Linked DNA regions of Macaca fascicularis. The protein of the gene in region 1 interacts with the protein of each later gene in a biochemical or structural test. Links are inferred from orthologs where the notes say so. Each region holds a gene or a part of one and is shown in the gene's direction. Other genes may lie near its edges.

Evidence for each region. The genes of interacting proteins can lie anywhere in the genome.
Region 2: the proteins of PPP1CA (region 1) and PPP1R15A are reported together in a solved structure, tested with the Homo sapiens proteins (2 studies listed by BioGRID and IntAct, with this or other methods). The link is inferred for Macaca fascicularis from reciprocal best matches to the Homo sapiens genes PPP1CA and PPP1R15A.
Region 3: the proteins of PPP1CA (region 1) and SFI1 form a complex in vitro, tested with the Homo sapiens proteins (2 studies listed by BioGRID and IntAct). The link is inferred for Macaca fascicularis from reciprocal best matches to the Homo sapiens genes PPP1CA and SFI1.
Region 4: the proteins of PPP1CA (region 1) and PPP1R10 form a complex in vitro, tested with the Homo sapiens proteins (2 studies listed by BioGRID). The link is inferred for Macaca fascicularis from reciprocal best matches to the Homo sapiens genes PPP1CA and PPP1R10.

The regions. Positions count from the first base shown.
Region 1 is NC_088388.1:6,973,470-6,979,490, forward strand, and holds the start of PPP1CA (serine/threonine-protein phosphatase PP1-alpha catalytic subunit), read left to right. Parts: upstream 1-2,430; 5' UTR 2,431-2,506; coding exon 2,507-2,561; intron 2,562-3,087; coding exon 3,088-3,219; intron 3,220-3,368; coding exon 3,369-3,599; intron 3,600-4,627; coding exon 4,628-4,732; intron 4,733-5,075; coding exon 5,076-5,299; intron 5,300-5,382; coding exon 5,383-5,517; intron 5,518-5,593; coding exon 5,594-5,704; 3' UTR 5,705-6,021. Other genes in the region: TBC1D10C (carabin), read right to left, coding at 1-42. UniProt on the Homo sapiens protein: Protein phosphatase that associates with over 200 regulatory proteins to form highly specific holoenzymes which dephosphorylate hundreds of biological targets.
Region 2 is NC_088393.1:56,856,909-56,863,068, forward strand, and holds PPP1R15A (protein phosphatase 1 regulatory subunit 15A), read left to right. Parts: upstream 1-2,023; 5' UTR 2,024-2,257; intron 2,258-2,828; 5' UTR 2,829-2,837; coding exon 2,838-4,628; intron 4,629-5,608; coding exon 5,609-5,971; coding exon of another isoform or gene 5,972-6,000; 3' UTR 6,001-6,052; downstream 6,053-6,160. UniProt on the Homo sapiens protein: Recruits the serine/threonine-protein phosphatase PPP1CA to prevents excessive phosphorylation of the translation initiation factor eIF-2A/EIF2S1, thereby reversing the shut-off of protein synthesis initiated by stress-inducible kinases and facilitating recovery of cells from stress.
Region 3 is NC_088384.1:20,123,981-20,129,993, reverse strand, and holds the start of SFI1 (protein SFI1 homolog), read left to right. Parts: upstream 1-1,876; 5' UTR 1,877-2,095; intron 2,096-2,236; coding exon of another isoform or gene 2,237-2,374; exon of another isoform or gene 2,375-2,530; intron 2,531-6,013. Other genes in the region: EIF4ENIF1 (eukaryotic translation initiation factor 4E transporter), read right to left, coding at 2,237-2,374. UniProt on the Homo sapiens protein: Plays a role in the dynamic structure of centrosome-associated contractile fibers via its interaction with CETN2.
Region 4 is NC_088378.1:142,040,269-142,046,387, forward strand, and holds the start of PPP1R10 (serine/threonine-protein phosphatase 1 regulatory subunit 10), read left to right. Parts: upstream 1-1,982; 5' UTR 1,983-2,402; exon of another isoform or gene 2,403-4,505; intron 4,506-6,119. Other genes in the region: MRPS18B (small ribosomal subunit protein mS40), read right to left, coding at 937-1,014.

The DNA.
Region 1 (6,021 bases):
CTCGGGAGGCTGCACCAGGTCCTCCCCCAGGGCCTGGGCCATGGTGCCTGGGGCCTTCAATGCCACAGGCAGAGAAAGTGGGGAGAACCAGTGTGAGGGGCCACTCCCGGCCAGCCTGGGGCCTGGCTGCGGGGTGAGAGTGGGGAGGTTTCAGGGTATCTCACCAAGCCAACTATGTCTCCTCTTTTATGGGGGCGGGGGCTAGGCCCTGCCCTGACAGAAAAGCCAGGCCTCTGTCCGGAGACCCAGCCCCAGGCCCAGCCTCTGTCTCCACCAGCCCAGCTCACCTCCTGCAGCACCTCACCTCCTCCTCTCACTTCCTCCTCCTCCTCACACAGCTTCAGCAACCGCTGGGGGCCCCTCCCAAGGGTGGGGGGTGTCACCCCTTCCTCTCTGAGGCTCTTCCTGCCTGCCCCAGTGCCCCTGAGCTGTGGGCTCCTCCCACCCTCCCCATGGCCCCAGTGACTGAAGGCTTGAGTTCCTGTGCTGGGTGTGGAGGGCCCAGGCCTCTTAGACACAGAGGCCAGGCCACCTCCAATTCTTTTGTTTGTTTCTTTTGAGACAGAGTCTTGCTCTGTTGCCCAGGCTAGAGTGCAGTGGCACGGTCTCAGCTCACTGCAACCTCCACCTCCCAGATTCAAGTGATTCTCCTGCCTCAGTCTTCCAAGTAGCTGGAACTACAGACATGCACTACCATGCCCGGCTAATTTTTGTATTTTTAGTAGAGACAGGGTTTTGCCACATTGGCCAGGCTGGTCTCAAACTCCTGACCTCAGGTGATCTACCCACCTCTGCCTCCCAAAGTGCTGGGATTACAGGCATGAACCACCGCGCCTGGCCTTTGTGTTTGTTTCTTGAGGGTCATGCTCTGTCACCCAGGCTGGAGTGTAATGGCAGGATCTGGGCTCACTGCAACCCCCACCTCCTGGTCTCAAGAGATCCTCCTGCCTCAGCCTCCCTAGTAGCTGGGACTGCAGGCGTGCACCACCATGCCCAGCTAATTTTTGTATTTTTTTGTTGAGATGAGGTTTCGCCGTGTTGCCCAGGCTGGACGCAAGAGACCATCCCACCTCAGCCTCCCAAAGTGCTGGAATTACAGGCCTAAGCCGCCACAGCAGGCCCACCTCCAGTTCTGAGGTTACTGGCATGTAAAGCACCCAACTCAGGGTTCCAACAAGAATTAAGGTTAATTTATCGTCTGCTCCTTTGAGACAGAGTCTCACACTGTCACCTCGGCTAGGGGGTGCAATGGGCCTTGGCCCACTGCAACCTCCGCCTCCCAGGTTCAAGTGATTCTCCTGCCTCAGCCTCCCCAATAGCTGAGATTACAGGCGGCTGCCATCATGCCCAGCTAACTTTTTGTATTTTTAGAGAGATGGGGTTTCACCATGTTGGCCAGGCTGGTCTTGAACTCCTGACCTCAAACGATCCTCCCACCTCAGCCTCCCAAAGCGCTGGAATTACAGGCGTGAGCCACTGCACCCAGCCATGTCTGCTCATATAGTAATTCTTTTTACGTGCACACCCTGCAATATTACTGTGCTACTCAAAAGCTAATTATGGGGCCAGGCTTGTTGGCTCACGCCTGTAACCCCCCCAGGACTTTGGGAGGTCGAGGCCAGTGGATCACTTGAGGTTAGGAGTTCAAGACCAGCCGGGCCAATATGGCGAAACCCCACCTCTGCTAAACACACAAAAACCAGGCGCAGTGGCGCGCGCCTGCAATCCCAGCTACTCCAGAGGCTGAGGCAGGAGAACCCCTTGAACCTGGGAAGCGAATGTTGCAGTGAGCCAAAGTCGCGCCACTGCACTCCAGCTTAGGCGACAAAGCAAAACTCTGTCTCAAAAAAAATAAATAAATAAAAGCTAATTATGGGACTTGTAAGAAAATATTAATTTATCATGCCCCAAGGACCAAAGTGCGCTGGAAGTTCAGCCGTAGCTGTCTTTGAGTGTGGTCAGCCGCCTGGGGGCCACGGAGACCCACGAAAAAGGGGGTCGTACGTGAATGCGAGGTCCAGGTCTTGCACCAGTCTGTTCATATCTCTTGAGCCTCAGTTTCCTTTCCTGCACTTCGAGCAGTTAACCCTCAGTGCCTAGCAGCCGGTTATTAATATGTTCACAACACCCTCCACCCAGGGCAGGGGTGGGAACGGCTGTTCTGCTTTTGAAAGAGAAAAACAACTTCCACAGTTCTTCCGGCCCCACATCCTCTGAACCGGGCTGGGCGCCTCCTCTGGGGCGTAACCAGTTGGACGCGCCCCCGACAGACCCCGCCCCCAGCCCGCCGCCAAGGCCCCGCCCCCCGGGCCGCGGCGCTTCACGTCCAGCGGGGGCGCTAGAGCGCGGGGGACCGGGCGGGGCGGGCCCGGGAGGCCCGGAGGCGGGGCCGCGGGCCGGGGGCGGACTGGGGCGGGCGGAAGGAGAGCCAGGCCGGAAGGAGGCTGCCGGAGGGCGGGAGGCAGGAGCGGGCCCGGAGCTGCTGGGCTGGAGCGGCGGCGCCGCCATGTCCGATAGCGAGAAGCTCAACCTTGACTCGATCATCGGGCGCCTGCTAGAAGGTTGGTCGCGGCGGGGGAGGCCTGCGTCCGCCGCTCCCGGGCCCCCTGCCGGGCCCGGAAGTGGCGCGCGGGCGGGCCCCCGGGGCCAGCTTAGACTGGGCGGGGACGGGCCGCGAGGTTCGGTGGCCGCAGCCGCCCCCCCGCGGACGCGCCTGAGAGGTCCTGGGCCCGCTCCGACGCGCGGAGCAGCCCCCTCTCCCGGGCCGGGGGCGCACGGGTTGCCTGGGTTCTTGAGGCGAGGGAGAAACCCGGGAAGCCCGGTCCAGGAAGGGGTCCTGCGCTGTGAGGTGTTTGGGTGGCAGCCCCCTGCGCACGACAGTCGCCTCCCGAGGCGCTGAGGGTAGTTGGGGGCTTCCCTTGGGAGGCTTGAGGCCGAGGTCCCGGGAGGCTCAGCAGCAACAGCTGCCTGCGGGCAAGGAGCAGCCGAGGAGGCCTAGGCGCCCCCGGAGGTATCCATGGGGCCACCCGTGTCGCCCACCCTCCTCCTGTCAGGGTCCCGGGTCTTGACACCCCATTGCGCCCCCAGTGCAGGGCTCGCGGCCTGGCAAGAATGTACAGCTGACAGAGAACGAGATCCGCGGCCTGTGCCTGAAATCCCGGGAGATTTTCCTGAGCCAGCCCATTCTTCTGGAGCTGGAGGCACCCCTCAAGATCTGCGGTGAGCCCCCCGACCCAGGTCCCCTTGCTTTCCTGAAAGTGGCACTGGCCCCCACAGAGTTCCTGGAGTCCTCCTCCCTTGAGCCCAGTCCTGGTCCTGGGTTCAGGTCTAGACCCTGCATCTAGCTTACCCGATTCCCTGGGTCACAGGTGATATACACGGCCAGTACTATGACCTTCTGCGACTATTTGAGTATGGCGGTTTCCCTCCGGAGAGCAACTACCTCTTTCTGGGGGACTATGTGGACAGGGGCAAGCAGTCCTTGGAGACCATCTGCCTGCTGCTGGCCTATAAGATCAAGTACCCCGAGAACTTCTTCCTGCTCCGTGGGAACCACGAGTGCGCCAGCATCAACCGCATCTACGGTTTCTACGATGAGTGTGAGTGGTCTGAGCGTCTGGGGCTGCCCGGGTCCTGAACCACACTCCTTGTCATTCAGTGGGACCTTCACATTGGCCTGATATCTGACAGACACTTGCTAAGACTGTGCACTCCACGAAGGCAGGGCCCAGGTCCGTTCTTGTGCCTGCCCTGCCCCTCCTGGCATGGGGTCTGGGGAATGGTTGCTGACTGAAGGACTGTCCGTATTCTAGTGCTTTCCCCCAGGGCCCTGCCTGGTGACGTTCCCTCTACATTTGCTACTAAGCATTTAGGATGTTTGCAGATGAGCTCTGCTGTCCAGAAGCTGAGATAAACCAGACCTGTACTTGGCCCGGCTCGTGGGCCGGGGCGTGCAAGGAGTGCCAACCCTGAGGCTGGTCCAGATTGGAACTCAGTTTCCAGTGGACTCGGGTGCTTTAGAATTACTTCTGGTGGGAGGCTGAGGCGGGAAGATCACTTGGACTCAGAAGCTCCAAGTTACAGTGAGCTATGATCTTGCCAATGCACTCCAGCCTGGGTGACTGAACAAGACCCTGTTTCTTTACTTTTTTGAGACGGAGTTTCGCTCTTGTTGCCCAGGCTGGAGTGCAGTGGTGTGATCTCAGTTCACCACAACCTCCATCTCCCGGGTTCAAGCGATTCTCCTGCCTCAGCCTCCCGAGTAGCTGGGATTACAGGCATGCGACACCACGCCTGGCTAATTTTTTTGTATTTTAGTAGAGACAGGGTTTCTCCATGTTGGTCAGGCTGGTCTTGAACTTCTGACCTCAGGTGATCTGCCTGCTTCAGCCTCCCAAAGTGCTGGGATTACAGGTGTGAGCCACCATGCCCTGCCCAGATCCTGTTTGTTTAAATTACAAATTAAAATAAAAAGTAACTAGAATTACTCCTGGAAGGCTGACAGGCGGCAGGGGTGGGGGTGGTTTGCATTGGTGCCTGACTCTCTCCCATCTGCGGCTGAATAGCCCAGAGACCCCGGCTAAGGGTGGAGCAGGCAGACCCCTCACAGCTACCTCCCTCTGGGCAGGCAAGAGACGCTACAACATCAAACTGTGGAAAACGTTCACTGACTGCTTCAACTGCCTGCCCATTGCGGCCATAGTGGACGAAAAGATCTTTTGCTGCCACGGAGGTGAGCTCTCCTTAGTTGTCATCTGGGAAGTCACTCCTTTCAGGAAGTGTCTCCCATACCCCCCTGTGCTGGGCTGCACTCACTTCCTTGATGTGCATTCTACATGGGGCGGGCTTGTCTCCTTTCTCCCAGGAGCTCTGTGCTCCGGAGGCCAGGGGCGCCTTTGTGCCTGTTTGGGAACTTGAAAAAGCTGAGGGGAAGGGGATGGCTTCTGCCTGCCTGGGCACCCAGGAGACCAGTGGAGGGACCAGGAGGGTGGTGGAAAAGTGAGGCTCACTGGCCAAGGCTTCCTGGAGGAAGGATGTCCTTGTTTGAGGAAGTGACCTTCCTTCTGGCCCTCCAGGCCTCTCCCCGGACCTGCAGTCCATGGAGCAGATTCGGCGGATCATGCGGCCCACAGACGTGCCTGACCAGGGCCTGCTGTGTGACCTGCTCTGGTCTGACCCTGACAAGGACGTGCAGGGCTGGGGCGAGAACGACCGTGGCGTCTCTTTTACTTTTGGAGCCGAGGTGGTGGCCAAGTTCCTCCACAAGCACGACTTGGACCTCATCTGCCGAGCACACCAGGTGGGCTGGTGGCTCCCGTCTGTGGTGGGGGAAGGGGAGGGCCTTGCCTGCACTTGGGACTGACTGCTCCGATCCTCACCCAGGTGGTAGAAGATGGCTATGAGTTCTTTGCCAAGCGGCAGCTGGTGACACTTTTCTCAGCTCCCAACTACTGTGGCGAGTTTGACAATGCTGGCGCCATGATGAGCGTGGACGAGACCCTCATGTGCTCCTTCCAGGTGAGTGTGGGGAAGAAAGGAGCTACTAGGCCCCGTGGCTCAGCCCCATGAGCCTGACCAACCCTGTCTCTTTTAGATCCTCAAGCCCGCCGACAAGAACAAGGGGAAGTACGGGCAGTTCAGTGGCCTGAACCCTGGGGGCCGGCCCATCACCCCACCCCGCAATTCCGCCAAAGCCAAGAAATAGCCCCTGCACCCCGCGCCTGTGCCCCAGATGATGGATGGATTGTACAGAAATCATGCTGCCATGCTGGGGGGGGGTCACCCCGGCCCCTCAGGCCCACCTGTCACGGGGAACATGGAGCCTTGGTGTATTTTTCTTTTTTTTTTTTTTTAATGAATCAATAGCAGCGTCCAATCCCCCAGGGCTGCTTCCTGCCTGCATCAGCGGTGGCTGTGAGCAGGATCCTGGGGCTGAGGCTGCAGCTCAGGGCAACGGCAGACCAGGTCGTGGGTCTCCAGCCGTGCTTGGCCTCAGGGCTGGCAGCCGGATCCTGGGGCAAC
Region 2 (6,160 bases), on another chromosome or scaffold:
AGAGAAAGAGAGAAAGGAAGGAAGGAAGGAGGGAAGGAGGGGGGAAAGAAAGAGAGAGAGAGAGAGACAGAAAGAAAGAAAGAAAAAGAAAGAAAGAAAGAAAGAAAGAAAGAAAGAAAGAAAGAAAGAAAGAAAGAAAGAAAGAAAGAAAAGAAAGGAAAGAAAGAAAGAAAGAAAGGAAAGAAAGAAAGAGAGAGAGAGAGAGAGAAAGAAAGAAAGAAAGAAGAAAGAAAGAAAGAAAGAAAGAAAGAAAGAAAGAAAGAAAGAAAGAAAGAAAGAAAGAAAGAAAAAGAAAATGGGGGGCTGTAGGCTGGGCCTTTGGGCTAAATTGGGGTAGGAGACCAGGTACAGTGGATCATGCTTGTAATTCCAGCACTTTGGGAAGCCAAGGCGGGCAGATCACCTGAGGTCAGGAGCTCAAGACCAGCCTGGTCAACGTGGCAAAACACTGTCTCTACTAAAAATACAAAAATTACCTGGGCATTGCGGCACACTCCTGTAATCCCAGCTATTCCAGAGGCTGAGGCAGGAGAATCACTGGAACCCGGGAGGTGGAGGCTGCAGTGAGCCAAGATGGCGCCACTGAACTCCAGCCTGGGCAACAAAGTGAGACTCTGTCTCAAAAAATAAATAAATAGGTCGGGTGCAGTGGCTCACGCCTATAATCCCAACACTTTGGGAGGCCAAGGTGGGTAGATTGCCTGAGCTCAGGAGTTCAAGACCAGCCTGGGCAACATGGCGAAACCCTGTCTGTATACAAAAAATTAGCCAGGTGTGGTAGTGCATGCCTGTAATCCCAGCTACTCAGAGGCTGAGGCAAGAGAATTGCTTGAACCCAGGAGATGGAGGCTGCAGTGAGCCGATCGCACCATTGCATTCCAGCCTCAGTGACAGAGCGAGACTCTGTCTCAAAAAAATAAATAAATAACAGGCCGGGCGAGGTGGCTCACGCCTGTAATCCCAGCACTTTGGGAGGCCGAGGCGGGCAGATCACAAGGTCAGGAGATTGAGACCATCCTGGCTAACACGGTGAAAACCTGCTTCTACTAAAAATACAAAAAGTTAGCCAGGCATGGTAGCAGGGGCCTGTAGTCCCAGCTACTCGGGAGGCTGAGGCAGGAGAATGCCATGAACCCGGGAGGCAGAGCTTGTAGTGAGCCAAGATCGGGCCACTGCACTCCAGCCTGGGTGACAGAGCGAGACTCCGTCTCAAAATAATAATAATAATAAAATAAATAAATACATAGGCCTGGGGCGGTAACTCACGCCTGTAATCCCAGCACTTTGGGAGGCCGAGGCAGGCAGAACACCTGAGGTAAGGAGTTTGAGACCAGCCTGGCAAACATGGTGAAATCCCGTCTCAGAAAAATACATAAATAAATAATAAATAAATAATAAATAAATAAATAAATAGGTCGGAGGCGGTGACTCACGCCTGTAATCCCAGCACTTTGGGAGGCCAAGGCAGGCAGATCCCCTGAGGTCAGGAGTTCCAGACCAGCCTGACCAACATGGAGAAGCTACATCTCTGCTCAAAAAATACAAAATTAGCCGTGCGTGGTGGCACCTGCCTGTAATCCCAGCTACTCGGGATGCTGAGGCAGGAGATTGAACCCCGGAGGCGGAGGTTGCGGTGAGCCGAGATAGCGTCATTGCATTCCAGCCTGAGCAACAAGAGCAAAACTCGCCTCAAAATAACTAACGAACCTAAATAAATAAATAAGTAAATAAATACATAAATACACAAATAAATAAATTTGGGTGGGAAGGCATTGGCCCTCAGCTAAGAGAGAACCGGCTCGCTGCTGAAGCAGGACCACGCATTTGATTGACAGTTTGCTGGTTGGGGGGGCGTGGTCACGCTCGGAAACTCCGCCGAGACGTTACAAAGGCTGGAATCTCCGCGAGAAGTCCAGTCTTTCACTTCCCACCCTTCGGGTTGTGGTCTCGAAACCCCGCCTCTCCCCGTGACGTCAGCACGCCAGGCGCTGTAGAATATAAACGCGTCGTGGCCTACGCTTGCGCTCATCGTGTTGGTTCCTGTCCAAGTTGTTGGTCGTATGCAAGACGCCGCAGGACCCCGCGCCCGCTTGTCGCCACTGCGCTTGAGGCAGCCGGAGATACTCTGAGTCCCCTGGAGCCCGACGCCTGAGGGTGAGATGAACGCGCTGGCCTTCCTAATCGTCAGGACCTGTGATCGCTTCTGGCAGACCGAGCCGGCGCTCCTGCCCCCGGGGTGACGCGCAGCCCCCCACCGGTGAGTAAGGGGTCGGAACGCCTGGGTCCCCACGGGGCTGGAGACCTGGATTTAGGAAGAAGAGATTGGGACCCTGGAGTCCGGAGCCTGAGGGAGGAGGGATCTGGAAGCCAGATTCTTGGGTCCCCGTGAAGGAATCATCTAGCAAGTCGGGGGTCGGGTCAGAATGTTTGAGTCTGCAAGGGAGGAGGGTGTGAGGGTTTGATCTTCAGCAGGATGACAGAGCTAGGGAGGGACTATGACTTTGTCGCCAAGGGAAGCAAGCAAAAGACTTTTGTTCTTGGTTCTTGGGACTGGGACTTCTGCGTCTGAAGAAAGAGGGGGCTGGGGGCTTGGACCCTTGGATCTAAGGAAGAACTAGGGGCTCAGACTCCTGGCTATTGAGAGATGAGAGAGAACAGAGCCAAGAGGCAGAGATGGGCGTGGCTGAGATCAGAAAGGAATTTGGGACTCTTGCGTTGCTGTTGACAATAGTTGTGTTACTATTTCTGTTGCTATGACTCATAGTCATGCCCGGATGCCATCCCCTAAATGGCCCCTAAACTTTATTTTTTTCCTCCCCCTTTTCCAGCCCAGACACATGGCCCCAGGCCAAGCACCCCATCAGGCTACCCCATGGAGGGATGCCCACCCTTTCTTCCTCCTGTCCCCAGTGATGGGCCTCCTCAGCCGGGCCTGGAGCCGCCTGAGGGGCCTGGGACCTCCAGAGCCCTGGCTGGTGGAGGCAGTAAAAGGAGTAGCTCTGGTAGAAGCTGGCCTGGAGGGAAAAGCCAGGACTCCTCTGGCAACCCCCCATATCCCTTGCGGCAGATGCCTTGATGAGGAGGCTGAAGACCGTGCAGGCCCTGGAGAGAACAGAGAAACACTGGGCCTGAAAACCAGCAGTTCCCTTCCTGAAGCCTGGGGACTTTTGGATGATTATGATGACATATATAGTGAGCAAGAAGCAACCAGCGTCCCTAGAGGGCAGGGAAGTCAATTTGCAGATGGCCAGCCTGCTCCCCTGTCTCCCAGCCTTCTGATAAGGACGCTGCAAGGTTCTGATAAGAACCCAGGGGAGGAGAAAGCTGAGGAAGAGGGAGTTGCTGAAGAGGAGGGAGTTAACAAGTTCTCTTATCCTCTGTCACACCGGGAGTGTTGTCCAGCAGTGGAGGAAGAGGTCGATGAAGAAGCTGTAAAGAAAGAAACTCGCAGAACCTCTACTTCTGCCTTGTCTCCAGGATCCAAGCCCAGCACTTGGGTGTCTTGCCCAGGGGAGGAAGAGAATCAAGCCACGGAGGACGAAAGAAGAATAGAAAAAAGTAAAGGAGCCAGGAAGACCTCCGTGTCCCCCCCATCTTCAGGCTCCAACCCCAGGGCCTGGGAGTGTCGTTCAGGAGAGGCGTCCGAGGAGAAGGAAGAAAAGGCACACGAAGAAGCTGGGAAAGGAGAAGCTGCCCCAGGGCCACACTCCTCAGCCCCAGCCCAAAGGCCCCAGCTCAAGTCCTGGTGGTGCCAACCCAGTGATGAAGAGGAGGGTGAGGTCAAGATTTTGGGGGCAGCTGAGAAGGATGGAGAAGCTGAGTGTCCTCCCTGCATCCCCCCCTCAAGTGCCTTCCTGAAGGCCTGGGTGTATTGGCCTGGAGAGGACACGGAGGAAGAGGAAGATGAGGAAGATGAGGACAGTGACTCTGGATCAGATGAGGAAGAGGGAGAAGCTGAGGCTTCCTCTTCCACTCCTGCTACAGGTGTCTTGAAGTCCTGGGTGTATCGACCAGGAGAGGACACGGAGGAGGAGGAAGATGAGGACAGTGATACAGGATCAGCTGAGGATGAAAGAGAAGCTGAGATTTCCACTTCCACACCCCCTGCAAGTGCTTTCTTGAAGGCCTGGGTGTATCGGCCAGGAGAGGACACGGAGGAGGAGGAAGATGAGGACAGTGATACAGGATCAGCTGAGGATGAAAGAGAAGCTGAAATTTCCACTTCCACACCCCCTCCAAGTGCTTTCTTGAAGTCCTGGGTGTATCGGCCAGGAGAGGACACGGAGGAGGAGGAAGATGAGGATGCGGATAGTGAGGGTAAGGAAGATGATTCAGAAGCAGCCATGGGAGAAGCTGAGTCAGACCCACATCCCTCCCACCCGGCCCAGAGTGCCCACTTCAGGGGCTGGGTATACCGACCTGGAAAGGAGACAGAGGAAGAGGAAGCTGCTGAGGACTGGGGAGAAGCTGAGCCCTGCCCCTTCCGAGTGGCCATCTATGTACCTGGAGAGAAGCCACCACCTCCCTGGGCTCCTCCTAGACTGCCCCTCCGACTGCAGAGGCGGCTCAAGCGCCCAGAAACCCCTACCCGTGATCTGGACCCCGAGATTCCCCTAAAGGCCAGAAAGGTGGGTGCTGAGAGCCCAGATTCTTTTTTTTTGAGACGGAGTCTCGCTGTGTCGCCCAGGCTGGAGTGCAGTGGCGCCATCACGGCTCACTGCAAGCTCCGCCTCCCGGGTTTACGCCATTCTCATGCCTCAGCCTCCCGAGTAGCTGGGACTACAGGCGCCCGCCACCTCGCCCGGCTAATTTTTGTATTTTTAGTAGAGAAGGGGTTTCACCGTGTTAGCCAAGATGGTCTCGATCTCCTGACCTCATGATCCTCCCACCTCGGCCTCCCAAAATGCTGGGATTACAGGCATGAGCCGCCGTGCCCGGCCTTTTTTTTTTTTTTTAAATTGAGTCTTGCACTGTCACCTAGGCTGGAGTGCAGTGGCGCGATCTTGGCTCACTGCCAACCTCTGCAGCCCAAGTTCAAGCAATTCTCGTGCCTCAGCCTCTGGAGTATCTGGGATAACAGGCACACGACACCACACCCAGCTAATTTTTTTGTATTTTTAGTAGAGATGGGGGTTTCACCATGTTGGCCAGGCTGGTCTTGAACTCCTGACCTCACGTGATCTGCCCATCTCAGCCTCCCCAAGTGCTGGGATTACAGGCATGAGCTACCACGTCTGGCCGAGAGCCCAGATTCTTGAGTCTGGGAGAGGAAGGGGCTGGAGGCTGAGACTCCAGGTCCCTGTATATTGCAGAGGATTGCGTGTCATTTCTATGGGGAGGGCTGTGTACACTGTCACGCAATCTCTTGTAAGAGGCCAGGCCCCTGGGGGAGGAGGGAGCAGCTGTGGCTCACAGCAACCCCAGGAAACCGTCTCTGCCTTCAGTGAGTCAGATGGAGAATCCCATGACAGTGACAGGCAAGTGACTAGCCAGATAGAAAGCATTTTTGTGTAATAACTAATTTTTGTTTGCTTCTCTCTCTCTCTTCCCCATCCGGATTCCCGTGGCTGTGTCCCTCTCCTGCCTGTGTCCCGGTGTCTGCCCCCAGGTGCACTTCTCCGAGAAGGTCACTGTCCATTTTCTGGCTGTCTGGGCAGGGCCGGCCCAGGCCGCCCGCCAGGGCCCCTGGGAGCAGCTTGCTCGGGATCGGAGCCGCTTTGCACGCCGTATCGCCCTGGCCCAGGAGGAGCTGAGCCCCTGCCTCACCCCTGCTGCCCGGGCCAGAGCCTGGGCACGCCTCAGGAACCCACCTTTAGCCCCCATCCCTGCCCTCACCCAGACCTTGTCTTCCTCCTCTGTCCCTTTGTCCCCAGTCCAGGCCACGCCCTTGAGCCAAGCTGTTGCCACATCCTCCCCCTCCTCTCCTGGTGCAGCAACAGCTCCCCTGGACCTCTTTGGGAGGCGTGGCTAAGACCAACTGGTTTGCCTATAATTTATTAACTATTTTTTCTAAGTGTGGGTTTGTATAAGGAATAAAGCCTTTTGATTTGTAGCAAGCAGGGTCTGTGTGTGTGTCAGAAACGGACAGCATTCTGTTTTCACAGGTCCCCGAGGTAGCTGGGAAGAGAATAGCATAAAACAAAGCACTTCATTGGGGGAT
Region 3 (6,013 bases), on another chromosome or scaffold:
AGGCTGGAGTGCAGTGGCCGGATCTCAGCTCACTGCAAGCTCCGCCTCCCGGGTTCACGCCATTCTCCTGCCTCAGCCTCCCGAGTAGCTGGGACTACAGGCGCCCGCCACCGCGCCCGGCTAGTTTTTTGTATTTTTTTTAGTAGAGACGGGGTTTCACCGTGTTAGCCAGGATGGTCTCGATCTCCTGACCTCGTGATCCGCCCGTCTCGGCCTCCCAAAGTGCTGGGATTACAGGCTTGAGCCACCGCGCCCGGCCTTGTTTTTGTTTTTTTGTTTTTATTTTTTGAGACGGAGTCTCGCTCTGTCGCCCAGGCCGGAGTGCAGTGGCCAGATCTCAGCTCACTGCAAGCTCCGCCTCCCGGGTTCACGCCATTCTCCTGCCTCAGCCTCCCAAGTAGCTGGGACTACAGGCGCCCGCCACCTCGCCCGGCTAGTTTTTTGTACTTTTCAGTAGAGACGGGGTTTCACCGTATTAACCAGGATGGTCTCGATCTCCTGACCTCGTGATTCGCCCGTCTCGGCCTCCCAAAGTGCTGGGATTACAGGCTTGAGCCACCGCGCCCGGCCGTTTGTTTTTGAGACAGAGTTTTGCTCTTGTTGCCCAGGCTGGAGTACAATGGCACGATCGCAGCCCACTGCAACCTCTGCCTCCTGAGTTCAAGCGATTCTCCTGTCTAAGCCTCCCCAGTAGCTGGGACTACCACGGCCGGCTAATTTTTTTTTTAAAATTTATTTTTAGTAGAGACGGGGTTTCACCATATTGGCCAAGCTGGTCTCGAACTCCTGACCTCAAGTGATCCGCCTCAGGGCCAGGTGCGGTAGCTCACGCCTGTAATCCCAGCACTTTGGGAGGCTGAAGCGGGGGGATCACTTGAGGTCAGGAGTTCGAGACTCACCTGGCCAACATGGTGAAACCCGTCTCTCTAAAAAAAAAAAAAAAAAAAAAAATTAGCCGGGCGTGGTGGCGTGCGCCTGGGAGGCTGAGGCAGGAGAAACGCTTGAACCCGGGAGGTGAAGGTGGAAGTAAGCCCAGATCATGCCACTGCACTGCAGCCTGGACGACAGAGGGTGTCTCCTTCTCAAAATAAATAGATAAATAAATAATAAATGTTTTAATTGCAAAAATTAGCATGTAGAAAATAGGACAAAAATACAAATTATCTGTGATTCTAACCCCGAGACACCCAACAAGTTAATTTTCCTCATGTTTTTAGCGTAAAATCTTTCAAGTATTTAAGTAACTACTGCTTTTAGTGTCTGCACCAGGAATCTCACGTGCTTTCAAACGTTTTACAAAGCACAGTAAAAAAGTATTTCAAAAGTCCCACTTACCCCTCCCACTCCTGTTTTTATTAGGATCGGCCCAAATTAAAAAATTTAACAAAAAGGAGTGCTTATTAATTACATTTTCAAATGAAGGGTTAAAAAAAGAGATAAGCCTGGGATTTCTAATTCGGGGGCCATGGGACTTCTCCCCTCCAAGTGCAAGTTGTAGCAATCTGCCGGGTACACGCATGGGCGGGTCATACTCCACGGGTTCCGGTTTCCACTCCCCGTGAACCAAAAGCCAGAGAGGCTCACGCACGAGCCCGGAAGTGAGGGAAAGAAGACTTTCGTTCGCAGCCACCTCCCAGCTGGAACCTCATCCTTAGTGCTCGACCCCGGGCGGTGTTAACTCGGGGTTCCGCCTCGGAATGCCTCCCACTTCTCTCGTCTAAGAGGAGAAGGCAGACATGTACAACCTGAGCTCAGAGCTAAGCTAGCGAGCCAAAGACTGTCAGTGGGGATGCCCAGACGGTGCATTCCCCACGCCCCTCGGAACCGACTCTCATTGCGGCTGCTGCAAAAGCGACCGGTCGTGCGCCACCCGCCCGACTGAGGCTGCGCAAGCCCCGGGGTCTGAATGGGGTGGTCCTCGTGCGCGCCGCGTCGCCGTGGAGACAAGGGCGGGCGCGGCGCGAGACTGGCGTCTAGAGGCGCGCGAAGCGCTGAGGCTGGCGTGGGCCGCGCGGGAGTTACGAAGCAGGTCCCGGACCGCCCTCTCCCGCCGGGTTTTCTCCCAGCGTCAGGCCCGATGGCTCGGCTTCCCCAGGTACGAGGCCCGATCCTAACGTCCCCACCCTCTTATGGGCTCGGCCTCTCCGGCAGGGAGCTCAGTCGGGTCCCTCCGAGTCCGGTGAAATCTGTGCGAGCCTCTGCTTCCTCCCCTAAAAGTGCAGGTGATGTTGCCTACCTGCGGGTCTGTGGTGCGGGAATGGAGGAAGTGCGACAAGAGGGCGCAGGACGGGGCCTGGAGCCTGCCATCCTCTCCCGCTATCCTCTCCCACCGCGTCTCCTCGGCTTCTTGTCCTGCGCCCCGGGGGCACCGCATCCTCCCAGGCGTCTAGTGCGCTCCTGGCCGGTGCTCGAGTCTACGCAATGCTTCTTAGCGTACGCGGATCCAAATGAGGGGTTTCCTTCTCCCGGCTAAGTGGCCCAGGAGAGCGGAAGGGCTGGTGTATGGGCGACCTTCCCCCACCGAGCCCGCAGGGGGTAACGCAGTAAACAAACCTTGAAGCCTTCCCCGCGTGGGAGGTGGGTGCATGTTTTTATTTTATGGGAGGCTGTTCAGGTTTCCTAAGTGCTGTGTAGATGTGTTGTAAATATTTGTTGAATGAATGATGCTAGGGACTTGAGTACAGCCATACCTTGCTTTATTGAACTTAATAGGTATTGTGTTTTTTACAAATTGAAAGTTTGTAGCAAGTAGTCCTGCGCCGAACAACTAGTTTTTCAGCAGCATGTGCCCACTTCCTATCACTGACACTTTGGTAACTATCGCTATATTTCAAACTTTATTTCAGGTATACCGTTACAGTGATCTGTGATCAGTGATCTTTGATGTTATTATTGCAATTGTTTTAGGTCGCCATGAACCTCACTGGTATAAAACAGTAAACTTAAGTGTTGTGTCTGACTGCCCCACCTACCTGCCAGTTCCCTGTTTATCTCCTCCCTCTCGGTCCTCCTTGTAGCCTGAGAGGCAACAATATTGAAATTAGGCCAATTAATAGCCCCACAGTGAACCCTAAGTGTTCAAGTGAAAGGAAGGGTTTCATGTCTCACTTTATATCAAAAGCTCGAAATGACTAAGCTTAGTGAAGGAGGCACATCAAAAGCTGAAATAACGTGAAAGCTAGGCCTCTTGTACCGAACAGCCGAGTTGTGAATATAAAGAAAAAGTTGTTGAAGCAAATTAAAAGTGCTACTCCAGGGAACACACCAGGGATAAGAAAGCTAAACAGCCTTATTGCTGATATGGAGAAACTTTTAGTAGTCTGGATAGAAGATCAAACTAGCCACAATGTTTTCTTAAACCAAAACCTAATTTTGAGCAAGACCCTAATTCTCTTCAGTTCTGTGAGGACTGGGAGAGATGAGGAAGCTGCAGAAGAAAAGTTGTAAGCTGGCCAGGGGAAGCGGTTCATGCCTGTAATCACAGCACTTTGGGAGGCTGAGGCGGGCAGATCACTTGAGGTCAGGAGTTCAAGACCAGTCTGGCCAACGTGGTGAAACCTCCTCTACCAAAAATAGAAAAAAATTAGCCAAGTGTGATGGTACTCAGGAGGCTGAGACAGAAGAATCGCTTGAACCCAGGATGCAGAGGTTACAGTGAGCCGTGATTGAGCCACCGCACTCCAGCCTGGGCAACAAAGTGAGACTCCGTCTCAAAAAAAAAAAAATGTGTAACTGAGAAATTAGCTGGAAGCTCCTAGTGTCTAAGCAGGACTGCGGGGTTCATGGGCTTCACTTTAGGGTAATCTAGGGACAAGTCTGCTTTTTCATTGATGGAGAGTAAAGCACATGTTTCAGAATCTGGAGATCTGTTAGTTTTTAGTGTTTTCTGAGAAGACTTTTCCAGTCTCCTGCCTGAAAGGTACCATCTAGCTACCAGAATGTTGGAAGCAGGACAGCAGAAGGGACCTGAATACCCTGTCTGACAGGATTGGAAATCTGTGTGGCCCGCTTTCCTTTGGTATCCTCAAATCAAAGTTTTTCATTTCCTCAAACCTGTTAGGCCACTTCATTTTCCTTGTAAAAATGTGGAAATCGCTGGTGTCCTATAATCTCTTCTCTCATCTCTTTAACCTTATGGTTTGTTCCTTTGTATTCTTTACTATCACCTTAGAAGGTCAATCTACATGTTTAACTGGGAGTCAACACCTAATAATTTTAGTTTTTCTTAGACTTTTTTTTTTTTTTTTGAGATGGAGTTTTGTTCTTGTTGCCCAGGCTGGAGTACAGTGGTGTAATCTTGGCTCACTGCAACCTCCACCTCCCAGGTACGAGCGTTCTTGTTGCAGCCTCCAAAGTAGCTTGGATTACAGGCATTCGCCACCATGCTTGTTTTTTTTTTAAGTAGAGATGGGGTTTCACCTGTTAGGCTGGTCACAAACTCCTGACCTCGGGTGATCCACCTGCCTCAGCCTCTCAAAGTTCTGGGATTATAGGCATGTGCCACCGTCCTCGGCCGTGTTTTATATTTGATTATCATTATGTATATTCCAACTTATAAGCAAGTTTATATTCATACATGTCCTTATTGAAAGCAAACCTGTGTCCTAGTTTTTCCAGTATGTGTGTATTTTATCTGTGAGGTTACAGACATTGTTTTAGAGGCTGGAGATACAGTGGAGAGAAGATCAGATATGATTCCTATTTTCATGGAATTTATATTTTAGTGGAGAAGGCAGACATGTACAAATAGGTAGAATGCTGGTATGAGTGTATAACAAAAGGGGGTCCTTGACCACGAAGGACATTCCACAGAATCATTATGACAGAAACCCAAGGCAGAGACACATTGATTATAGCAGTATTTCACCAAAAGTCACTATTTGAATACTCCTTCTATTTGATTTATTTGTAGAAATAGTCACTTATGATGAGCTCTGTTACTTGGAGTGTGGTATCAGAAAATCTAGGACATTGGTTTGATGTAAGTAAGGATTGTTCGTTTTGTATGGATAAACTGGCTAATTCCTTGTCTGATTGTCATTGAAATATGTGACCTTGATTATAAGGGTGACTTCATTCTTGTAGAATGAAACATCTGGTAAATGCATCACAATTACTCAACATAGGACACGTTCACCCTGTTAGCTTGCCTCCACCATTACTTAAATCTTACTCTTCTGTCTTACTACTTGTATTAGTTTCCTAGGGCTGCTGTAACAAAGTACCGCAAACCAGGTGGCTTAAAACTAATAGAAGTTGATTCTTTCACAGTTTTAGAGGCTAGAAGTCTGAAATCAAGGTCTTATCCTCTCCCTGAAGGCCCAGGGTATCTGTCCCTTGTGTCTTCTCTTTTAAGAAAGACAGATCATTTTGGATTAAGGGCCCACCCTACTCCCACGTGACCTCATCGTAACTTACATCTTAATTACTTCTGAAAAGACCCTGTTTTCAAATAAGGTCACATTCACAGGTAGCAGGGGTTAGGATCTCAGCAAATCTTTTTTGGGGAACACAATTCAACCCACAACACTACTATTCCTGGCACTAAAAAACAGAGCAAAACAAAAAAACTATGTCGTAATTTATTCAGTTCCTAATGAATATTTTTGATAGAAATGATCACTAATTGAAAATGAGAAATGGGCTCAGGCGCAGTGGCTCATGCCTGTAATCCCAGAACTTTGGGAGGCTGAGGCAGGCAAATCACTTAAGGTCAGGAGTTTTAAGACCAGCCTGGTGAAACCTCATCTCTACTAAAAATACAAAAAGTAGCCCGCTGTGGTGGTGCGTGCCTGTAATCCCAGCTACATGGGAGGCTGAAGCAGGAGAATCGATTGAACCCAGGAAGTAGAGGTTGCAGTGAGCCTAGATTGCACCTCTGCATTCCAGCCTGGGCAACAGAGCGAGACTGTCTCAAAAAAAAAAAAAAAAAAAGAAAAAGAAAAAATGAAAACTAGGCAAGGTGCAGTGGTTCCTGTCTGTAGTGCCAGCTATGGGAGACTGAGACAGGAGA
Region 4 (6,119 bases), on another chromosome or scaffold:
TGAATTGATTCTGGTGGAAGAATAAAGAGGAAGGATATCTAGGTTCTCGGAACCAAGATGTGTGGTGGGGAGGGGATGCTGAAGACAGGTGAGTCTCCAAATCAATGCAATGAAGTCACTGAGTTGCCCATTTTCATAAAAGCTGAAGGTCAACAATCTACAGGGCAGAACAAACTTGAGTCCTAACGCTAGTTTTAAAGCTACCAAGGCTGTTATTAAGTCTGTGTTGACCTCTGTCACCACTCTTCAGTCCCACTTTAGGGAGTGGCAGCTGGGCAAGCCTTTCTATCTCACCGTGCCCCACCAAGAACCTCCAGAGAGGTGAGTACACAAGACTGGAGGGAAACCTCAATTCAAAGGACGGAGTTAAGCTCTCATAACTCTGATAAGAAACTGATTTAATAAAGAGAGCTGAGAAACTGTCCTCAGGTCGTAAGAATATATCCTGACCTTACTGGGAAATAGCAAGGTGGGTAGAAATTAGGATCCCTAATTTCCCTAAGGACATTCCTGAGCAACACAGATTTAGACATGACCTGCACAGTTAAGAGCTGGTTGTGGCGCTCGCTTGGGGAGCACATATGTTACGCTAAAATTGCAACGATACAACATTAGCATAGCCCCTTAATTATTTAAATAATTTTCAAAAAGCTGGTTATGCATAACTGAGGGTGGACGGGGGTCAATTCTATCACTTAATTATTTTACTGAGATGGCATTTTGGAAGAAGGATGACACCTAACCCTGGGGCTTAGTCCTCGGCTCGGGATTAGAAAACGCGCGGTGTATGGGAGGGGGTTGCTGGAAGTACTGCCTAGACAGCTAAGATATAAACACGTGGGAAGGTCTCCACTCGTGGATTCCTGACAGCGGAGCGACGACCTAGAGAAGGTATAACCAACTTGGGGTTGTGCAAAATGTCCTTCGAGAAGTTACCTGAACTCTGTGGGCACCTCGGAAGAGAGAAAGCATAGGAAGCCGCCTCAGCAGGGTGTTTAATACGGACGCCGCCATCTTGACGTACGCCCAGCACAGGAATGGAAGGAAAGGCAACTGCGCATGCTTCAGGAAACTGACTAGGGCAGGGCCAAGGACAAGCCCGCAGTGCGGAAGGCGGCCGCACGTTTGCGTCAGGACGGAAGCGTGAAAGGGAAGGCATGGGCGGAGAAGCTAATTTCAACTGCGTCACAATCGAATTAGACCTCAAAATTGCATTTTTTCTTGGCTAGTCACTACGACTCTTAGATCTCTTTGTTAGAGTTTGCCTTTTAAGCAATTTTGAAGGCGATTTTTATCGAGATCCTCTCAGTGCGCATGCTCCGGCACGTTTCTACCAACCCTGGGTGAGAAATGTTCTCCAGGGCGGAAGTGGCGGAAGCAGAGGAAAGGGAGGTGCTGGGCTCTCTGGTCACGCGCACGCAACAGGGAGGCAGAAAGGAGGCGGAAGAGAGTGCCGGGGAAGGGGCGGAGCAAAGGTGAAGTGAGACTAGCCAATCAGCTGGCGAATTGTCGTTTAGGTTGACCAATGAGTTCACGCCTCGCGTATAATGTCTCGCGACAAGGGCGTTTCACCAGCACGTTTGGGCGCGTTGGGCGGCGTCCGGGTATAAAAGACTCCACCCGAGCGGGCGGCCGCCATTCTGGGGTTCGTTTAGAGGTAAGTTTACCTACCTTGTTGTTTAGTGGGTAAAATTTTGCGGAGAGCGTTGGATCTGGGAAGCGGGGTAGGGGTGGGTTCATTTGAGAGCCACGGCTTAAAGCGGCTGCGATCAGGATGGGACACAGAGGTTTGTTTGGGGACAGCAAAGATGGCATTTCTGGGTGTTTTGAAGCAACCCGTACTGATTACATCTTTCTCCCTTGTGTTCCTTTTATCCCAGGTTTGAATTTTCTCGGAGAAAGACAGGCCGACCACGAGGAAAACAGAAACAAGCCGCAGCAACATCTAAGCCCTTGAAAGGATCCTGAGAGAGGGGGGAAAGGGAAAACAGCAGCCACCAGCCCAACCACTTGTGTCTTCTGCCCCTTCCCACCTATCTTGCCCACCCCACCAGCCCACGCTGCTTGGGACTTGAAATCTGTGGCCGAAGGACCGTCACCACATAACTTGAAAAATAATCAACCACCCTCCCTTCCCAAACCACCCAAATTCACTCATCCAGCGTTTACTTTTTTGAATCCACTCAGAACTTTTTTCTGCGACCCCCCTCCCTAAATGGAGTTGGGTGGGGGGGGAAATGAATACTGAGTTGGCCTTTATTTTTTAAAAGACTTTTTGATCCAATGAGGCCCCCTAAATAATTGAGTTTTGGGTCCTGGTTGGTTGTTTTATTTTTTTTCCTCCAAAATTTTACCCCCTCCCCCCTGAGCCCGAGGTGCTGACGTCGCAAAAAAATTGGATAGTAAGTGTCGAATTTTCAAAAACCAGCCTTGCAACAAGAAGTCAACGTTTCCCGTTGTGAAACCAAAAATAATGAGAGGAAGAAATGAGACCATAGAACAAATAGAGAACTGGAGAAGGACCAATCTGGTCACTTAATCTCCATTAAAAAGGGCCTGTGGGTCTAAACAGTCTTGTTCTCTCTCCCCTACCACCTATCTCTTCCCTGCCCTGCTGCAGGCAAAGAGAGGGTGGAGGGAGGGCCAGCAAGTGAGGATTTTGATGGTTAACCCTTGGTAATCCAGCCAATTTCCAGACTGCCAAAGCCATACGTGTTTATATAAGGAGGAATGGTTACCTTCCTCTGGTTAGCAGCAGTCTTCGAAAGGGTTAATGAGCTCACATACAAGAGATGGTGGATCTTGTGGCCCAGAAGTACCACTTCTTTGTGTGTGAGACAAGCAGGGTGCCTTTCAATTTGCCAGATTAATAAGCAATCTGTACATAAAGATTGCAGGGTAAGGAGATGGGCAGAGAGAAATAATAGCTCGCTATAACTTTTTAAATGACTGTTAAATCCTCTCAATTTTAATGTAATTTGTTTGGGGTATATTTGTGTGGTTAAAATAGGTGGCAATCTAGGAATAAAGATTGCAAGACACTTAGGACAAAATATAATCTTAGTGCCAGTACATACAATAGTTGGGGAGGTAAAGAATGTCTTATAATTGTTGCAGATTGCATAGGTATTTAAAAGCAAAAGAGTGATTAACATTTTAACTTGATATTTTTTGGTGGGGGAGGTACAGTTAAATAGAGGGTGGAAAGGTTGGGTAATGTGGAATTTAGGAGTATAATTTTAAAAGCCATTTAGTGCAATTGAATGCTAGCTTTCTAAAAGATTTGTGTCGTTAAAAGGAATTTTTTTCTTCCCTGCTTCAATATGGCGACTTTCCTTGTCCTTTTGTCTTCCAAGCGGCGTTGCAGGTTGTGTCTTGACCCATTTTTTTTCCTGTCCTCCCACCTCAACCCTATTTGTTGAGAGGGGTCCAAGTCCTTCCTCCCCCTTTCCCTCTATAGGGAGGATGGGGGTGGTCGATGGTAGCCGGTTGAACCTCCGTTGCAAATTCAGTTCTTCCCTGCAGAAAATTGTTCTAATATTTTGATTGCTTTAATTTTCACTACGCTCTTACTGATCAAAATAGGTCAAAGATTATTCACGATGGGGAACTGGCTTTTGGCTTTTTTACTAAAAAGGTGTTTTTATAATGTAACTGAAGCTACCGGCAGAGCTGGGTGGCTTTTTATAGTTCGAGTCCTCTTTCTCCATTACAAAATGGCGTCCCTCCGTCTTTGTTGTTTTTCTTCCCCTTTTGCCATCCTGAGCTTAGGGCCGCCCTAGAAACTTGGTCAAGGGGGAGGAGCAGCCTTGAAAGGTGATGTAATCAGCTTTCTTCCTCTTTTCTCCACCCTCTTGAAGCTCCACCCCTGAGCAGATGCCTTTGCACTCCCTGTGCTCGTGGCTGCTAGGGAGAAGACATTTTCCTAATTTTCATTATATAAAATACCTTAAAGGGATGAGAGCTTATAGGAATTAAGTATTAAGGCTGTCCATCTCCTTGGGTAGTTCTAGTTTTTATAGAACCAGTTTTTATTTTCACTTTCACTCATCACAACTGCTTGTAATTTTTCCCCACTTCAGCTGCCAGGGGTGAAAAAACAGGCAAACCCAAGACTGGGAGCTTTGAGGATGTGTGTGAGCGTGTGTGTATGTATATATGTGTGTAGAGGGAGATGGGAAAGACACAAGGGCTTGCGAGAGTCCCTTCGAGATAAACGGGCCTGATGACACTGAAATGTGCCATTTCTGCTCAGGAACCAGTCTTTGGGCCTCCTGCATTTGGTCGCTTTGTGTAATGAGAATCGGGGGAAGGTGGATACTTCTAGGACTTTCTTCTAAATCGCCCTCATTCCCACCTCTCAGTTTGGGGATAAACTGTATTCAGTGCTGTATCACGTTCTGCACTTAGTTCCTGTACATTGGTACTAGGATAAGAAGTGAATCTTTAGGAAAGGAGGCGGCAGTTGTAAACTCAAGGCAGGGGGAATCAAGCTACGGTTTCTGGTAAGCAAAACCTTTCTGGTATTACATTTCACAACTTTCATTTTTTTTTTCCCAAAGAGCCACCTTTTTTGAATTTCTTTTTCCTTCCCTTCTAAAAGAAATTCCTTGAAAGCATTAATGAAAAAATGATGTCCTCTTCATTTTTCAACTCATGCAGTGCTGTGGCAGTTGGTGCATGTTCAGAAGCCATGCCCTATCTGAGGGTGGTATTGGGTGTCTGGTTCCTTCCCCCAACTTTTTCAAAGCCAAATCTTTATCAGACTCTCCATATAATTTTAATTTTTAAAAGTCCTGCACTGAAGCGTGGAGGTTCTAGGCAGAATTGGAAAGCACAACTGCCCTGTGGTGATGTGGGTGAGACTTAGGGCTAATTTTCTACTGGGTACAGATTCTCAAATTATTACTTAAACTTCTGGATTGGATGGGAGGGACTCTTCCACATGTCTATTGACCACAAGTTTTTTTTGTTTTGTTTTGTTGTTTTTTTTCTTTTAAGCAGTTTGCCATGTGCCTCTGCAGCATATCTTCTTTGGGAGCTGAACATTCTACCCACTGGGGTTCCTGATATCTAGTGAGCCAGGGGATTAATAATGAAGATCTTCCTTAACATGGGAGATGGGAAGCAAGGTCTACTAGGGGAACCACATCCATTCAGAGAATCTTGGAAAAGCTGATCCTTGTAGTTTGTGGCCAGAGTTCCAGTCTGGGGTCTTTTTCTATGAGTTGGGGTGGTGTATCATTTTGCATCTTTATTGAAAGGCAGATAAGCTTTTGAGGAGCTCATGTATCAGGTTTGCAAAATGACTTTGAGGGGTAGGGGCTTACTACTTGGAAGCAAGCTATGACCTTGTGATGAATCACCTGAGAGACATAATTCAGTCCACTATTGAGTCAAACTAGGAAATGCCTAAAACACTGAAGAAAGGAAGGGGAACATGAGTTAGGTACAAATCATTTTCATTTCCAGAAGTGCCTCTAAATTAAGGTAAATTTGGGAGTTTTTTCTCTTTTTGTTAGAAGACAGTTATTTTTAAAGAACTCTGACTTGCACAGAATTTTTATCCTGAACCAATTCAGTCCTGTTCATTGGTGATGGATGTGGAATAACTTTAGCTATGCTGGATATTTTTTCACCCTATTTATTTGAATAGCCCTCAAGTAAAATTCATTTTGAAGGCAGGAGTTGGTGTCACAGACGTTTATCTCTGGTAAAAGTGGTAGAAAATTCCCCAGTGCTTTGTGCCAGTAGAGTATGGCTCTGCCTGAAACATCTCCGTAAGGAAAGCATAGCTTAGGATGAGGTGGACGTAGGCCAGGGGGTTGCTCCCTCACTCCCCACCTTCTGTATGTTCTGCAGTCAAGGAAATAGCAGCTCACTAAAAAAAGACATAATCATGCCCTGGATTATTCGTGGTTCCAGAAAGCTTTCTCAAGCTTTCATTCTAGACTCCAGATCCTGAGTAGGTAATGTTACAACACTTAGTCACAGCCCCTGCCTTCCTTCATCAACTCAGTTTGCCTTCTCAGCTGTAGCCCTGTGCCCGGAATGTTGGACTTTACATTCCTCCCCACTTCAGTGCCTTGGAGCTTGTTTGGTTTTTTCCCAAAATATAC